Linked DNA regions of Alligator mississippiensis. The protein of the gene in region 1 purifies or fractionates together with the protein of each later gene. This does not show direct contact. Links are inferred from orthologs where the notes say so. Each region holds a gene or a part of one and is shown in the gene's direction. Other genes may lie near its edges.

What was found. The genes of interacting proteins can lie anywhere in the genome.
Region 2: the proteins of PTPRU (region 1) and GOLIM4 purify together in Homo sapiens (affinity purification with mass spectrometry; 3 studies listed by BioGRID and IntAct, counting the BioPlex papers as one, with this or other methods). This does not show direct contact. The link is inferred for Alligator mississippiensis from reciprocal best matches to the Homo sapiens genes PTPRU and GOLIM4.

Annotation. Positions count from the first base shown.
Region 1 is NC_081829.1:10,863,428-10,871,442, forward strand, and holds the start of PTPRU (receptor-type tyrosine-protein phosphatase U), read left to right. Parts: upstream 1-5,005; 5' UTR 5,006-5,090; coding exon 5,091-5,169; intron 5,170-8,015.
Region 2 is NC_081830.1:73,493,485-73,501,077, reverse strand, and holds the start of GOLIM4 (Golgi integral membrane protein 4), read left to right. Parts: upstream 1-4,580; 5' UTR 4,581-4,929; coding exon 4,930-5,116; intron 5,117-7,593. UniProt on the Homo sapiens protein: Plays a role in endosome to Golgi protein trafficking; mediates protein transport along the late endosome-bypass pathway from the early endosome to the Golgi.

The DNA of each region.
Region 1 (8,015 bases):
TTCTGGCATTGCTGAATTAGCAATTTCTTATGAGAAAGCATTGTACTGAGTAGAGCACCCTGTCCAGATCTACTCTGTATATTAGCAGCCAAACCTAAATGAAACCCTGCTCTCCTGACTCCAAGGGCTGTGACTCCACACTGACCAATACTGTTATGAAGAATATGGTTTCTTAGGCACTGGCTTGAGGTCTTAAATGTTCCACCTGTCCTGCCTTTATTACTGCAACAGTAGCTCCTAGATGGTCTGAGATCAGGGTGCTGTTATGCTAGGCACTGCACATATGCATCCTGAGAGTCACTGCCCCAAAGAGCCTTCAGTCTAAACAGAAAAGACACCGTCATCGGCAATCCCTGGCAGTTGAAGATGATTGTCTTATCCATGGAATATGCTGGGCAAGCCGTTTCCATGGAAGATGCCTGTACATGATTTCTTTATTGTGGAGAAGCTGCTGCACATCAGCTTCCATGAGGTTCTTGGCAGAACAGGGCCTTGATCCAATGGCATGGAGGCCAAGAGCATTGGAGATCTCATTCTGCTGCAGCCTTCATCTGCCTTCACAGCTGTTGAGATTCTAACATCTTCTGCATGCTCTGCTGTTGGGGACTTGTAGACCCATGGCTAGGGGCTGGGCAGGCTTATTATAAGGCAAACTGTACTTGCCATGTCACAGCACCATCAAAGGATATATGTGGCTTTTCAGGAGAGAATGCATTGCCATCTGCTGTCCCCACCATAGCCTGGTGGTGCTGCCGGTGCTTGGTCCATGACTGCTTATTTATCAGTTACTCCTGCTTATTTTGCAGCTAACCTTCCCTGAAGGTCATTCCACTCTCTGCCACCCGTGGATGCTCTGGGTAGCAAGCAGTGTAGCTTTATTGCCAGATAAGACAAACTGATGGCAGGAAGAAGGAAGCAGAGATCCAGAGAAGTGATTGCTCCAGGTCCCATGAGAGGTCAGTGGTGGAGCCAAAATCAGAAGCCAGGTTTCTTGACTCCTAGTCCCACACCTCATCTATCAGTCCATGTCACTTATGGACGGTGACAGCCTTTGCTGCAGGAACTGTGTGAGGCAGTGGAACAACTCCAGCACCATCCTTGTCCACAGAAGCATCTTTAGCCTATATGCAGCACTGAAGCGGTTATGTTGAACGCTCCTGTGTGCCCAGCCTAGCAATTTCATATTCCAGGAGGGTGTTTGTCCTGTGAAGGATCTGCCTCCAGCAGGATAAAACAAATAGATGAGCCCAATTTGCAAGAGTGGCAGAGCTGCCTTTTGGAGCGCTGAGTTGTATTTGTGGGGAACAGAACAGAAATTGGATAAAGCTCCTTGCATCTGCTGGCAGCACAAAGCAATGCAGAGCACAGCTATTCCCAGAGATACAGCACACATCTTCAGGGCTGGGGATTTTCCTAGTACATTTGCAGATCTGAATTACACCCATATATTAGCTGTTTGACACAGCAATCTGTCACACTCGGGCCTGGCAGACAGAAGCAGAGGACAACTTTCCTCCCACTTGGCCCAGTCTGGACACCACAGTGTGTGTGTGGGTGTGGGTGTGTGGCGGGGGTGCAACTGCTTTTGTCCAGGGCTATCCACCTATCTGTACATTCCTCTCTGAGTATAACAGTCACCAGTTGGCATGTCTGCCTGTATCTGTCTGTCCAGGGGCTGGACAGTGTGTGCCTATATGTCACCATGTGTGATCATGTGTTTGTGAGTACTTGTATATCTTTGTGTGTATGTGTTCATGCCAATCTGTGTCTATGCCATTGTATTTGGCTGGATGTTTGGGAGTTTGTGCATCAGTTACTCGGTGTGTGGCTGTAAATAACTTTCCCATCAGGATTGTCCCTCTTGAGTCACACTTCATTAATTTCCCAAGGAAGCATGACCAGGTCCAAGCTGCATCTCCAAGCATTGCCCCCCCCACCTCCCCTCACAACACATGGGAAAGAGTCCTGGCCTGGGAGAAAGAGTTGCATTGATTTTGCAGGGAGTGCTGAGAGTGGAGCTGGGCTCGCAGGGTGCTCTCTGCTGTACTGTTGCCTCACTGCAAACAGATTGGAGGGGTGACTCGCAGGTGCTAGTCTTTGCAGTGCTTTAAACTTGTTCCTGGACAGTTGCTTCCACTGGTTCTGTGGAGTGTGTCTTGTGGAGTGCCCATTGCCATGCTCTCCAGGCAGCCAGCCCCAGAAGTGGGCTTAGCTCCAGCTATTCAGATCTCACATGCCAGGATACAGCAGGGTTGAGATTTCCTCATATACAGAGCCCACAGCTGGGACCCAACTTACCAAGAAGCCCAGCACCCAGCTCAGCCCCTAAGGAAATCTGTCCCTGGAGGATCATCATGAGAGAAGTGTGGGAAAGTTTGTGTCTAGGGAGACACTTTTTGGCTGAAATTGCCAAGGTAGCTTCAGCAGAGACCTATGTGTTCTCTGAATGTCCTTGGGGATAGCGTTCACACACACACATGCACACATGCATGCACACACACCCACACACATGGCTGAGCCGTACTCATACAGAACCCTTCCTGCCTCTGTCATATCCACACTCTCACCAGCCGTCCCTACATGAACACCATCTCCACATTCACCCACACTCACAAATGTCCACATGTGCTCCCCTCCTGCATGCCCCCACTGCAGATGCCTAGTCCTCAGACTCACTCCTCATCACACACCCATAAAACATCAGCATGCTGCACCTTCACTGATCCATGCCACCTTTGCACAAGCAGTCATTGAAGCTTTGGTATCCATTGAATCAATGTCCAGAACAAAATCGCCTTGCCTTATCCCTCCCTCTGCTCTCCTCTCTACCCCACCTTCCCCATCCCTCTCTCCCACCAATCAGACTGAGACACAGTTATAACTCTACCTGCCTTCAAGGTTTTATCTGTTTAATTAGATAATTTTCCACCCCATTTGTCATCAGTGGCTCAGCCGTGCATTTGAGCCCCCGATTAGAACGACAGCCCCGTGCAAATAAATGAACGCTCAGACCAGTGCTTCCCTCCAGAGAGGATGTCAGCCCACAATGCTTCTTTCATCTCCCTTGGCATCAGTGCCCACGATTGAGTCAGCCCCCTCACCTCCATGGAGATCGCTCCTTAGCCTCTGTATCTCTCCATCAGTACCTCAGCGTGAGGCTTTCTGCCTTTCTGAGGATCTGTCTTGCCGTCTCCCTCGTGTTCTCCCTTTTGCCTGCTCCTGGTTATCACAGTGCCTAATGGAAGCCCAGCACAGCCATGGCATTTCCAGCTCCCCCTTGTCAAGCGCTCGCCCATGGATTAATCTTTGTGTGCTCTCCCTCGTGCCTTCCCCCAGCCCTCCATCTCCCCTTTGATCCAGAGGAGTGTTTCTTTGCCAAGCAGCATCCTATTGCCCCCACCCTTACCATCACGGGCAGCAGCTGGGGTGGGGGTGTGCTGGTCAGTAGAGTGAACAGGCAGAGCGGGGGAAGGCAGCTCTTCTCTCACCATCCCGAGTCCCCATGCCCCTATGGTCTTGGCCAGGAGGCTTCAGGCTGATTCACCATCGCAGTTATTGAAGCCTCCTGCCCTGATCCCCCAAGTAGCTGTGCCCAGGCCACCCCCTACACCCAGGCAGGGCTCAGTAACTTCCTAGGAGCCATGTGAGGGCATGAGGCCTTGTCGTAGAGTCCGCTGCCGTGGGGGCCTTACAGCGAGCCCCGCTGCAGGGGTGGGAGCTGGGGCTCCAGCAGGGCACTAGGGGGGGACCGCCCCCAAGCTTTAGGGTTACCATACATCTGGGTTTTCCTGATCATGTCCTCTTTTTAGATCCTCCAATCTCGGTCTGGGCGGTTTCCTTAAATATGATCAAATGTCTGGGGTTTTGGTCAGCTCTGCTTCAGAGTTTTTCCTGGTACTTCCCGGCTTGCCCTAGCAAGGAGCAGCTTGGGGCTGGGGGCAGGGCAATTGGAGGCAGGGCGCACACGTGGTAGGGGTGGGACCAGCCCGGCAAGTGGATCCAGGTAAGTCTGTGGGGGGCTGCGGTTGGAGGAGCAGGGCTTGGGGATCGTTGTGGGGTGTGCGTGTGGCAGGGGTGTGTGTGTGTGGAGCTGTGCGGGTGGGGTGTGTGTGGCAGGGGTGTGTGTGGGTGTGGCAGGGGCATATGTGTGTGGCAGGAGTGTGTGTGTGTGGTTGGGGGCATGGGTGTGTGATGGGTATGTGGCAGGGTGTATGTGTGTGTGGCAGGGTATGTGGGTGGGAAGGGGCGTGGGTGTGTGTGTGTGTGGCAGGGTGTGTGGCAGGGTGTGTGTGTGTGTGTGGCAGGGGTGTGTGGCAGGGGGTGTGGGTGTGTGGGAGGGGGCGTGGGTGTGTGTGTGGCAGGGGTGTGTGGCAGGGTGTGTGTGGGAGGGGGTGTGGGTGTGTGTGATGGGTATGTGACAGGGCACGTGTGTGTGGCTCAGGTGATGGGTTTGTGGCAGGGTGTGTGTGTGTGTGGCTGGGGTCGTGGGTATGTGACGGGTTTGTGGCAGGGGGTGTGTGTGTGGGAGGGTGTGGGTGTGTGTGATGGGAATGTAGCAGGGCACGTGCGTGTGGCTTGGGTCGTGGGTGTGTGATGGGTATGTGGCAGGGTGTGTGTGTGTGTGGGAGGGGGTGTGGGTGTGTGTGATGGGTGTGGCAGGGCACGTGCGTGTGGCTTGGGTCGTGGGTGTGCGATGGGTATGTGGCAGGGTGTGTGTGTGTGTGTGTGTGTGGGAGGGTATGTGTGATGAGTATGTGGCAGGGGGCGTGGGTGCGTGTGTGTGGCAGGGCAGGGGGCGTGCGGCGCGGCAGCCCCCGGGCCGGGCCGGGCCGGTGCCCGAGGTCGCAGGGCGCAGCAGCAGCAGAGCCCAGCGCCCCGCGGCGCAGGTGCGGTGTTGGGGGTGCGGGCGGCGGGCGCGGTGGGGCGCAGGGCCGGCAGGAGGCGCCCTGTGCCCGCGCTAGGCTCGGCCGCGGCCCCGGCGCTGACGTCAGGGGCGGGCGGAGGCGCCGCTCGCGCGGGGCTCGGGCTACTTCACCGGGCTCCGGCGGCGGCGGCGGCTCCGGCTCCGGCTCCACGGCCGCGGCGGCATCATGCGGGAGGCGCGGGCGCTCGTGTTGGTGCTGGTGCTGGGCGCCCAGCTCTGCGCCCCGGACAGCGACACGCCGACAGGTCAGCGTCCCTCGCCCGCCCGTCCGCTGCCGGGACCCCGCTGCCGAGAAGTTTGCGCCGCGGTGCCCTGCCCTGCCCTGCTCTGCCCCGCTCTCCCCTGCCCGGCCCGGCCCCGGCTCGGGCTCCAGCCGCTCGCGAGCCGTGAGGAGCGGGAGCGGGGCCGGCAGGAGCCGCCTCTCGGTGCGCTGCCGCGGGGAGAAACTTCATGCCGGCCGCGCTCTCGCTCGGGGCTCTGGCTGAGAGGCAGGAGAAACCCGGGTCGGTCACCGAGGGACTTTTCTTTGGGGAAACCCTCCCCGCCACCGATATTTGTCTTTCCCTGTTGCATTTAGGGGTGCCCCCGCATGCTGGTGCCCTGTGCGGGAGGGTGCGCATTGCCCCGTCCGCTCCTCTCCGGCTTCTGCCGCCGGGTTTGGGCACCTGGGATGCGGGAGTGACAACACGCAGTTGTGCGCCCGTTGTTGAGGGCATCCCGCAGCGAGAGCAAGGAGGGTCTCGGTCCCTGTGCAAGAGGGAGAGTCAGCCGAGCTCGGGGACGCCGCTGGGAAGACCGGCGTTGTCATTGCCAGCTCTCCCCGGCTGTGCCAGCCTAATGAAGGTGTAGGCGAGGTTTGTTCCAGAGAAAGCTAAAGATCCTCAACTTCGTCTGATCCCCGCAAGTTGAAAAGCAGTGGTTTGAAGCTGGGGTTTCGGGGATTGCTCAGCGTCGCTTCTCCGCTTGTTCCTTTCCGTGCCGGGCGTTCGGGTGCACGGAGGGGCTTGCGGCAGCTCTCCCATAACAAACCCCTCTCCTCCAGGCATGTAATAAATGCGGTGTTGAAAGAAGAGAGCAACTCTCGGGGCTGAAGCTTCCTAGACAGATTCAGCCCAGAGGCAGGCTTTGTTGATAAGGGACGAGTTCAAGTGTGTGCATATACATGTACACACACTTGCACTCGCACACACACTTTTGCCATCTCTCAGCTTTTAATCTGGAGCGTCCTTGTTTTTTCCATCTGATATTTCACGGACTCCCGGTTGGCATGATATGCATCTGGCTCCATCTGCCTGGTTTGGGTCACTCCATGGCTTCGTGCGTGTGTATTTCTGTTGCTGGGGGGGGGGGAATGTCTGGGTTGGTAACGTGGCCCCTGTGTGCTAATTATTTTTGGTGGGTGTTGTGTTGGGGCTGCAGCAGGGAGTGGTCTGAGACGGGTTTCTGAAATGACAGCTGCTCTTGCATGTTTCGAATCCTTTTGGGAAAGATTTTTTTGTTGTTATTCTTTTCAATAAGTAAGTAAATTTAAATACAAAAACTCTGTGGCCCTGGTATTCTAGTGAGCCACGGAAATTAGATGGAGGAAAACCACTCAGCGCCAGTCCTGCCCAGTGCAGACTACTTCTGTTATATACTTACTAACACATTTGTCTTGCCTTGTTTTAAATGCCCCTAGAAGGGGCTTCCATGGACTGAGCGGTTGCTTGCCTATCTTGCTTAACTTCTTCCCGGTGCTCTTTCTTCGGTGCCCCCAACGAGCGCCCTAAACAATTCCTCTTGCCCTCGTCCACCCTTCTCATCCCTGTCTGTCCCCCCACAGGGGTGGTGTTCGAGGGGACGCTCAGTGCAGTGGGGGAGCCGTGCGGGGATGTTTGGTGTCCTTTGCTGTAGAGGACATGCAGATGGTGACTGAAATGCACAGAGATCCGGGGAGGCACAGGCCACTGTGCTCTGTCACACATGCTGTTGCGCTCCTGGCTGATGGGCACGAGGAGTTGCCGTATGTAGGATGCTGAACAACGTAGTGTAGCAACAGTTAAAATGCTGCAGTCGGACCCTGGCCAGCTGGAGCAGGTGTAGGGTGTAGGGTGCATGTGTTTTAGGGCTGGCTCTGTTTGCATCCAAGTCGCACCATCTTCATTGCCCAGAATATCTTGATAGTCTGATCCCTCCCTCTTCCTTTTTTCCCACAGCATAACCAGGAAATAAAACTTTGTTCTCACAGGGATGTTTCTTACTTCAGAGCTTGCCAAATTTTAATCGTTCTTGAAACGAATGGATCCGCTAGGGTAAACGCGCCGCAGATCTGAACTGAAGTAGCTAAACAACAGCTTGGGCTGCGCTGCTCCCATCTGGCGACTGTGTTCGAATGTAGGGGTTCCAGTTCAGGCCGGTAGAGAGAAGCTAACTCTTCCCGATCTTGAAACCTGCGCCCAGCAGAGATCTGCCTCTGGGTTTGGGTTTACGTTTTAAACTGCCCTCTTGCAGTCAGGAGTAGGGGGCCAGTGCGGGCAAGTCCCTACAGAGCAAGTGGGGCATGTGAATCTGGTCTCTCCTGCAGAGGACGGCCGTGGGTTCAGGTTTCTAGGCTGCTTCATGGAGGTTCTCCTTATGAAGGGGAGAAGCAGACACAGGTGATACCTGGGGCGGGATTCAGTACCTCTCAAATGCTTTCTGGAGTAATAACTCTCCTTTAAGACTGCTGCTGCTCTTTGATGTACACCGTTTTCAAGCGTCTTTTCATCGGGCTATATTTAGATGTTACAGAACGTTTTACTAAACAAGGATGTTTGTCCCGCCTGCCCCCCCCTTGAGTGACGTTAAAATGAAGCTGGTCTCTAAGCATCTCATCCGGTCCTGCTCCTAGGAGAGTCATGGGAGAGAGAAACTTGACCCTGAGAGCTGGCGTGGAGAAGAGATAAACAAGGGGAGAGGAGGACCTTTCTCCACCCCCCCCCCCGCATGTACACGTACACATGCATATATGTACACACTTACACAATTTCCCAACATGTCAGACATGTCTCCGGCTTCCTTAGGAAACATGAGTGGGCGTGGAGTTGTGGTCGGGTTTGAATGGGGGCAGTGA
Region 2 (7,593 bases), on another chromosome or scaffold:
TGCTCTCTGCAGTTGGATAAACCCCATTAGTGCTACAAGTCATGCTTTTTCATCCCCAAGAGTCTGGGAACTGGGAAAAATCTCTGCATTTGTAGAGATTAGGAATGAAAGAAGGGAATGGAGTTTCATCATAACTGTGGTCTATTCCCTTAAATTTCATAGTAACCTGAATGCTGGGAGCTGTAAGGGAAGATAGGCAGAAACCAGAACAGTCTCGACAGGTCCTGCATATACACTCTTTCCCTTGGTGTCCATTCTCTGCCACTGAGAGATACAGGATAGATGTATCGGATAGATGTATCTGGGCTAACTGAACCTGTGGTCTGATCCAGTAAAGTGCTTCTTATGTTCTTATTTATTATTTTTGTTAATAGGCCCAAGCTATGTAAGAATTAGGAATATTTTTAAAGAAGTTTCTCTCTCATGATTTTAAGGAGAAGCATAAAACATGACCTATAAAAGCTCCAAAAAGCAGAAGGCTAATAATCATAATCATCATAATATAAATCAATTTTAAATGTCATCATTTTAAAGCTTGACTCACAATTTCTTTAGTGTCTGACTCATTATTTTTGAACATTTGGGATTGGCAATACTGCAGATTAGTGGGTCTACAATAGTGTAAATTGAAAGAGGCAAATTAATGTTAGCATCTATGCTGCTAATAGTGGCTTCGATTGAATTCTGTCTGCAGAGAAATAAATTGGTTGAAGATTCAGTAACAAGAAGTGAAATGATTAAATCAGGGAAGAAAAGTATTGCAGCAATTCTACTGGAGGAATAAGGGAACTTTTAAAAGTATTTTTGCAAAATGTATAAGATCATTCTCCAAGTCTAAATGTTTTAAACAGAAACCAGACTTAGCTGCTCAGTACTTGGCTTCAATTCTGATTAAATTCCAATAAATTCTGAGATTGTAGCTCTTGTGCTAACTTTCCAAGGTAAGCGGTATATGAGAGAAAGAGATCAAGTAATGACATAATGTGTTGAATGAACAGTACAGAAAAAGAAAATGAGAGACTATGTTCTTACAATATTGGAAGAGAAGAGACAGTATTTCTCTCAACATAAGACAGGGAATTTAGAATGAAAAGACCCTGAAATACATTTAGGTGGGAGACAATTGGTTGGAGGAATTTACTGCTACCAGTTACTGAAGCTGAGGGCTTTGTAGCATTTGCTTGGATCGTAAGAATATTCACATCTATTAGAATTTTAAAAGTAGTAAAGGATGCAAGCCTGTATATTTTACAACATCTGGCAGACTATTTGGAAGAAACTTCCATTGGGGCCAGGCTATTGCACTGTGTTTTCTTACATTCTCCTCTGAAGCATCTGGCAATGGTCACTTATACAGATAACTAGACTAGATGACTCACTGGTCTGTTCTAGTATGAAGAAACCTAAGTATTTAAGATTAATTTTCTGTACAGCACAACCACTGAATTGGAATTTGAGCGTGAACTTGAAGGAGCAAGATAAACATGTACGCAGAAAATTCTGTTGTAGTCCACAGCTTCAAAGCTATGTACTTACCTGGGGCATAGGAACTCAATGTAAAGAATACTTTTCAATGTAAAGAATGCTCATTAATTACAAGAATTCAAGGTAAACAATATTCATTAATCACAGGAACAGCTCGCCCTAAGGTTTTTGCACCTCATTAACATCTCTACCATGTTTCAAGGATGCCTGGTGCCTTTTATAGTAGCTTTGAAATTTTCAGGACCTGTTCAGCTCAAGACTATCCTAGACCCCTTGAAATTTAGATGCGTTATCAGTTTCACTGATGATGCAGTAAAATGGAGTACTACTAGGTTGCAAAATAGACAGCAGGGCTGGAAGATGCTATGGATTTAAACTGTTTATGCACTTTTATATGCAGATAAGAGATATTTATAATAGGGGCCCCACATGGGCGACTGGTGTCTCCTGAGTCAGGGAGGCACTTGTCCCCAAAGCAACCAGTCAGCGACTGGGGAGTGGAGGGGGGGGGGTCCAATCCTGCCAATCCTGCTGACTAGGGGGGAAGCGGGAGAAGTCCCCCCACAACGAATCCCACAGACCCACAAGTAGCAGCAGTGCTGGCACTTCTGGGTGAGCGTAATTGGCTGCGGGGGGACTGCAGGGATCACTTCTCCTGGTGCCCCCACTCCCTAGATGGTGCTCTCAGGGGGGCACCAGAGCTCTCATCTGCCCCCCTCCCTGGGAACGCTGTCAGGGGGTGTACCAATGCTTTCAGGCAGTGCATGTGCACTCCCGTGCACCCCCTATGCATTGCCACTGCAACCTCATGAGAAAGGGGTAGGGTGGAAGGAAGGAAGGGTGATGCTCATCTCCTGAACTCTAGAGCTGTGTGAAAGTATAGCTCAAACCTGCATGGGCCAAAGGGTGAGCCCAGAGCTCAAGGCACATGTGAGGCTCCAGCCAGAGCTGTGCTGACATGCCAGTACTGACATGCATCACACAACTGAAGGGGTTGTGACCTTGGATCCAGCCCTGAGTTTAAGCAATAGGCAAAAACTTAGGAGAGTTCTTGTTATGCAAATTATGCACTTATCTAGAGATGTAAGATGTATTCTGACATGGAGAAAGAAAACCTTTTCATTATTTCACTACAAAACATGCCCAAAAGGGCCTATTTTTACCATCCTTACCCTTATCCGTATGGCCATTTTAGAGCTGAATGATAGCACTGAAAGTGGGTGAGAGTAGAAGATTCTGGCTTTAGAGGTACTGCAACAGAAACAGAAGACTAAACATAAACAATATTGAACGGGAGCTGAATCCAAAAATACAGCGAAAGGCGTCCTTAGAGGAAGCATTTGGGACTTGCATTGAAGAGCTGAAAACATTTCTCCCATGTAATCATCAAACCCCAGCATTGTGACAGTCCACATAAACCGCAAGGAAAAACTGAGTTTCCCACAAAAAGGAATGGAAACATCAGTATCCAATCCTAGATGTTGAAGCAATCCTGCCAAGTGCCAAGAGCATTCAGCTGTCATCTTGCATATAAAGGATCTTGGATTTAAAGATGCCCAGCACAGGTCTGTGTTATCTAGTCCCAGGCCTTTGATGATCAGGTCTTTTGTAACTCCCCATGCAGTACCCGATCCTGGAGGATGCTGAGCAACTCATAAGGTGCTGGGAACACAGGGAAGATGACAACACTTTGAAGAGGTACAGGCTAGGGGACCAGAGTCATTATCCTAATAGCTGCATATTTAATAATAATAATTATCCTAAATAGTCAGTATCTGCAGTTTATATCAGCACCCTGCTTATTTCTGTACCAAGCTGTAAAACAAGCTGCCTCCCTGCAAATTAGAGCCTGTGCAGAAGCAAGCAAGACACATATACAGCACCTCTATCTCTAGCCCAAACACACAGACAGCTGGAGCGTGTCAAGGAGGGTGCTGCAAAAATATACACAGGGAGCGCTCCCTCTGACTGCTCCTGCTCTTGCAGAAGTCCTTCAAAAACAGATGCATGGTTGTCACAGGTACACATGCTATAAACGACCATGGCTGGAACAAAGAGGCCTGACAAGGCTTTAACTGGACTCTTTTTTTGTTTCCCCCCGAAGCAGAAAAAGTCAGACTTTTTCACAGCTTCTGCCTGGAACTTGCACACACGTGTGCACACAACCTACGTCCAGAGCTGGAATCTACAGGTACAAGCAACGTGACCCCACACCTGAATCTGGGTGTACATGCACACATGCACACAACCTGTGCCCACACTTGGAATCAGCATGCGTGCACACACACTCAACCTGCAGTCATATCTGGTATCTGTGTGTACATAGACGCACAACCTGTGCCCACACCTGGAACTGGTGTGGATATGCGCACACACACACACACACACAGAGTCAACCTGTGCCCACACCTGAAATCAGCACGTACACACACACACACACACACACACACACACACAGAGTCAACCTGTGCCCACACCTGGAATCTGTGTGTACACACCTGCACAACTTGTGCCCACACCTGGAATGGATGTGGCCATGCACAAACACATACACACACTCAATCTGTGCCCAGACCTGAAATCAGTCTGCATGAACACACACAAACATACACACTCAACCTGTGCCTACACCTGGAATCAGTGTGGACATGCACACACACACACAACCTGTGCCCACACCTGGTGTCAGCGTATAAACACACACACACACACTCAACTTCTGCCCACACCTGGCATCTGTGTGTACACACCTGGAATCTGCACACACACAACCTGTGCCCACACTTGGAGTCGGCACGCATGCACACACACCCAACCTGCAGCCACGTCTGGTATCTGTGTGTACATACACGCACAACCTGTGCCCACACCTGGCATCAGTGTGGACACACACGCAACCTGCGCGCACACCCAGCGCGAGTGCTGTCCCCGGGCCCGCCCGGCTGCCCTTGCCGGCGCTCGGGGGGCCGGGCCGGGCCGGGGCGGAGCGGGGCGGGGGCGCCCGTGGCCGGACGGACGCGGCGGGCACCCAATGCGCTCCGGCGCGGCCTCCCCGAAGGGAGGGCAGAGCGCGGCCAATGAGGCCGCGCCCGGAGCGGGACTTCCTCCGGGGACCCGCAACAGCGCCGCGCCGAGCCGAGCCGTGCTGAGCCGAGCACAGCCGACACGTCAGTGGGGCGGGCGGCGGCGGCGGCGGGGAAGTTTCCTTTGTTTCGCTGTCAGGGGCTCCTTCCCCGCCTGCTCCCGAGCAGCGCGGCCAGGCGCCGCCCCCGCCCCGGCCCCGGCCCCGGGACGCGCCGTCTCCCCGGGGCGCAGCGCAGCATGTTGCCGGGGCCGCCCGGCGGCGGGTCGCGCGGGCTGCAGCGCTGCCCCGTGCTGCCGCCTCCTCCGGCAGCTGCTGCCCGCCGCTGAGCCGGGCCGGGCTGCGGGCCCCGCGGAGGGACTATGGGCAACGGGATGTGCTCGCGAAAGCAGAAGCGGGTTTTCCAGAGCCTGCTGCTGCTGAGCGTGGTGTTTGGCTTCATCTACGGGGCGATGCTGTACTACGAGCTGCAGAGCCAGCTGCGCCGAGCCGAGGCGATGGCGCTCAAATACCAGCAGCACCAGGAGTCGCTCTCAGCCCAGCTGCAAGGTAACGCGGCTCCCTGCCCCCCGCCACGAGTCTCTCCCCACCCCCGCGCACATCTGCCCCGCAGCTGCCGCACCGCTCCCTGCCCGCCCGCCCGCCCTTCCCCCGGGCCTGCCGCCACGTGCAGGGGAGATGCTCCCCTTCAAGTCCACTGACTTGAATGTGGCCAGGATCCTCTCCCCTCCCCTCCCCTCCACAGGGCCCTCTTATTGCTGAAGGATCACAGGGCACCTTGCAGCTGCCAGCTGAAAAGGCAAACTCGCTGCATCCCCCTTTTTCTTACTCTCCTGGCCCCGCAAAAGCCAGTGGCTGCATTTTGGCTTTTGCCACTGCTTTGCATTTTGCCTGTGACATCCCATTGTGGGAAGGGATGGGACCAGCTTGAAAGTTTAGGGTCTGTTGCTTCGCCAGGTGAGGAACGGTTCAAGTCCTCTTTCCTGAGCTAGTTTAAGAACAGAGAAGAACAGGCTCTGTTACTGGCTTTGACTATTTTGGCTCAAAGCAGTTGCCTAGAAGTGGCTGCTCATCACCAGACACTTCCAGTTTTAGGATGCTCGAAATGGAGATTATTTTGCTTTGGAAACTGATCGCTGTCAGTTCCCAAGGACTTCTGCATGCAAAGATGTCAAATTGTATATGGACCATCAGTGCTGTGTAAAGCGCAAAACTTTTTAAGTTCCTTTTTAAGTCCCAGCTGCTTGAAGTCAGGCACACACAAATCAGTGACTGCTTTTGAAAGCTTTGGCCTTAGTATGTATAGTTTCTGTTCAAAGTGTTTGAGGTGGCCACAATTGAATATTGAGCATGTGATGCGTTTAACCGTCCTGGAACTTTACACGCTGCACCAGCGTTACACATTGCACCAACTGTACAAACAGCAGTAGGATGAATATTGTTGATTTGATCTTGCAACCTTTTACACGTGGACAGCAGGATTGGGTTAAAGGTTTTTAAACTCTTATTGGCGCCTCCTAAATCTGTGCAATAACAAATTCCAAGTCCATGGTTACTTAGTTTCAGCATCTCCAGTTCTGATAGAATAATGCTATGGAACACCTTGGCGGTGGCATCGCTGTAGTGACCGAGGAGGCATGAGGGGGAGAGATGTGGTTGATGGCTGAAGGGCTGCTGTAGCTGGTCTGCATATTTGCCAAGAGAATTTGAAGAGGAAATGGAGAAAACCAGAACATCTTGTTCCTTGGTCAAGTTAAACTTCAACAACTTTCTGTTACTTTCACTGACCTGGGGGACAGCAGAGTAACTTTATTGGTGGCATTCATCCTATAGATTGAAACTTTACCAAGATAGAGAAGAGGAGATAAAATGGCTCCGCACACTGAGGCTATGTTATAATTAAACTATTCACGTTGTAAACTTTATGGGTTAGTGACTATTTTCCCATGAAAATAAATGCATTAAAAAAATAGGAGAGAAACAATCAATAGAAACACCAGAAAAAACATGTCTCATGCTACATTACATATAATTTTCCTCTTACCATTTTAAATTAATTGCTGAACAACTAATAATGTTTTCCCCAAGGTTAACTTATTTTAATAATATATGCTTAAAAAGGAGAGAGTGAGCCTCTTGGGCATATCAAGCATATGTAAAAGATTTTTCTATCAAAGATACCCTACAGGTAAACCTTTTTACTAAAGATAAATATACATCCCTTCATCTGGAGAAAGGAAGAGACACCAGTTTTACAAAAAAAAGACATTCTTGAATAGATTTTTCTTTTTCTTTCTGAAATTTCTGGGAGGTAGGCTCAGAGCCTCAAATAGTACTTCTTTCTAGCCTCCTCCCTGGCTAAATACATCTCCCATGCATTTTCCATCCTGTGTGCGCCTAACGGCACATTGATGCTGAATTTGAACATCCTTGCACCTTGTATAGTCATTTCCACGAATGCAAAGTACCTTTACTAAAGGTAAAGCATTATCCTTGGCGTAAGTGTGGGGAGAATTCTGATTTAGCATTTGATATTTGATATTTTTATTTTACATGCAGTATTTTATAACAACTTAGCACAGAAATAGATGACTATACAAGGTGGATCAAATAGGCCTTTTGTACAACTTCAGCTTCCCCGTGGGGGGGGGGGTGTGTGTGTGTGTGTTGCATAGCAGCAGGGAAAGTTAACTTTTGTAAAGAGATACACGCTTCTAAAACAACACAAACAAAAGCATTGACTGAGAACATACGGGCAGGTGCAATATCTGACTGTACTTTGAACTCTTATTTTTAAGTGACCTGGGTTTTAAATTGGCCGTGTCCCTCTCAAAACTCTAAAATGTTTACCTTTCAGGGCTTCATTTGATTTGGATATCTTTTGAGTGTAAAGAACCCAGATTATTTTTGTTTGACTACTAATGGCTTAAATCTAGAAATAAAATAAGAAACAGATTGTGTAGCCATAGGCAAACCTCAATGTAGAGAAAGTCAGACTATTTATGGAGACATTTTTGGCTTTGAAC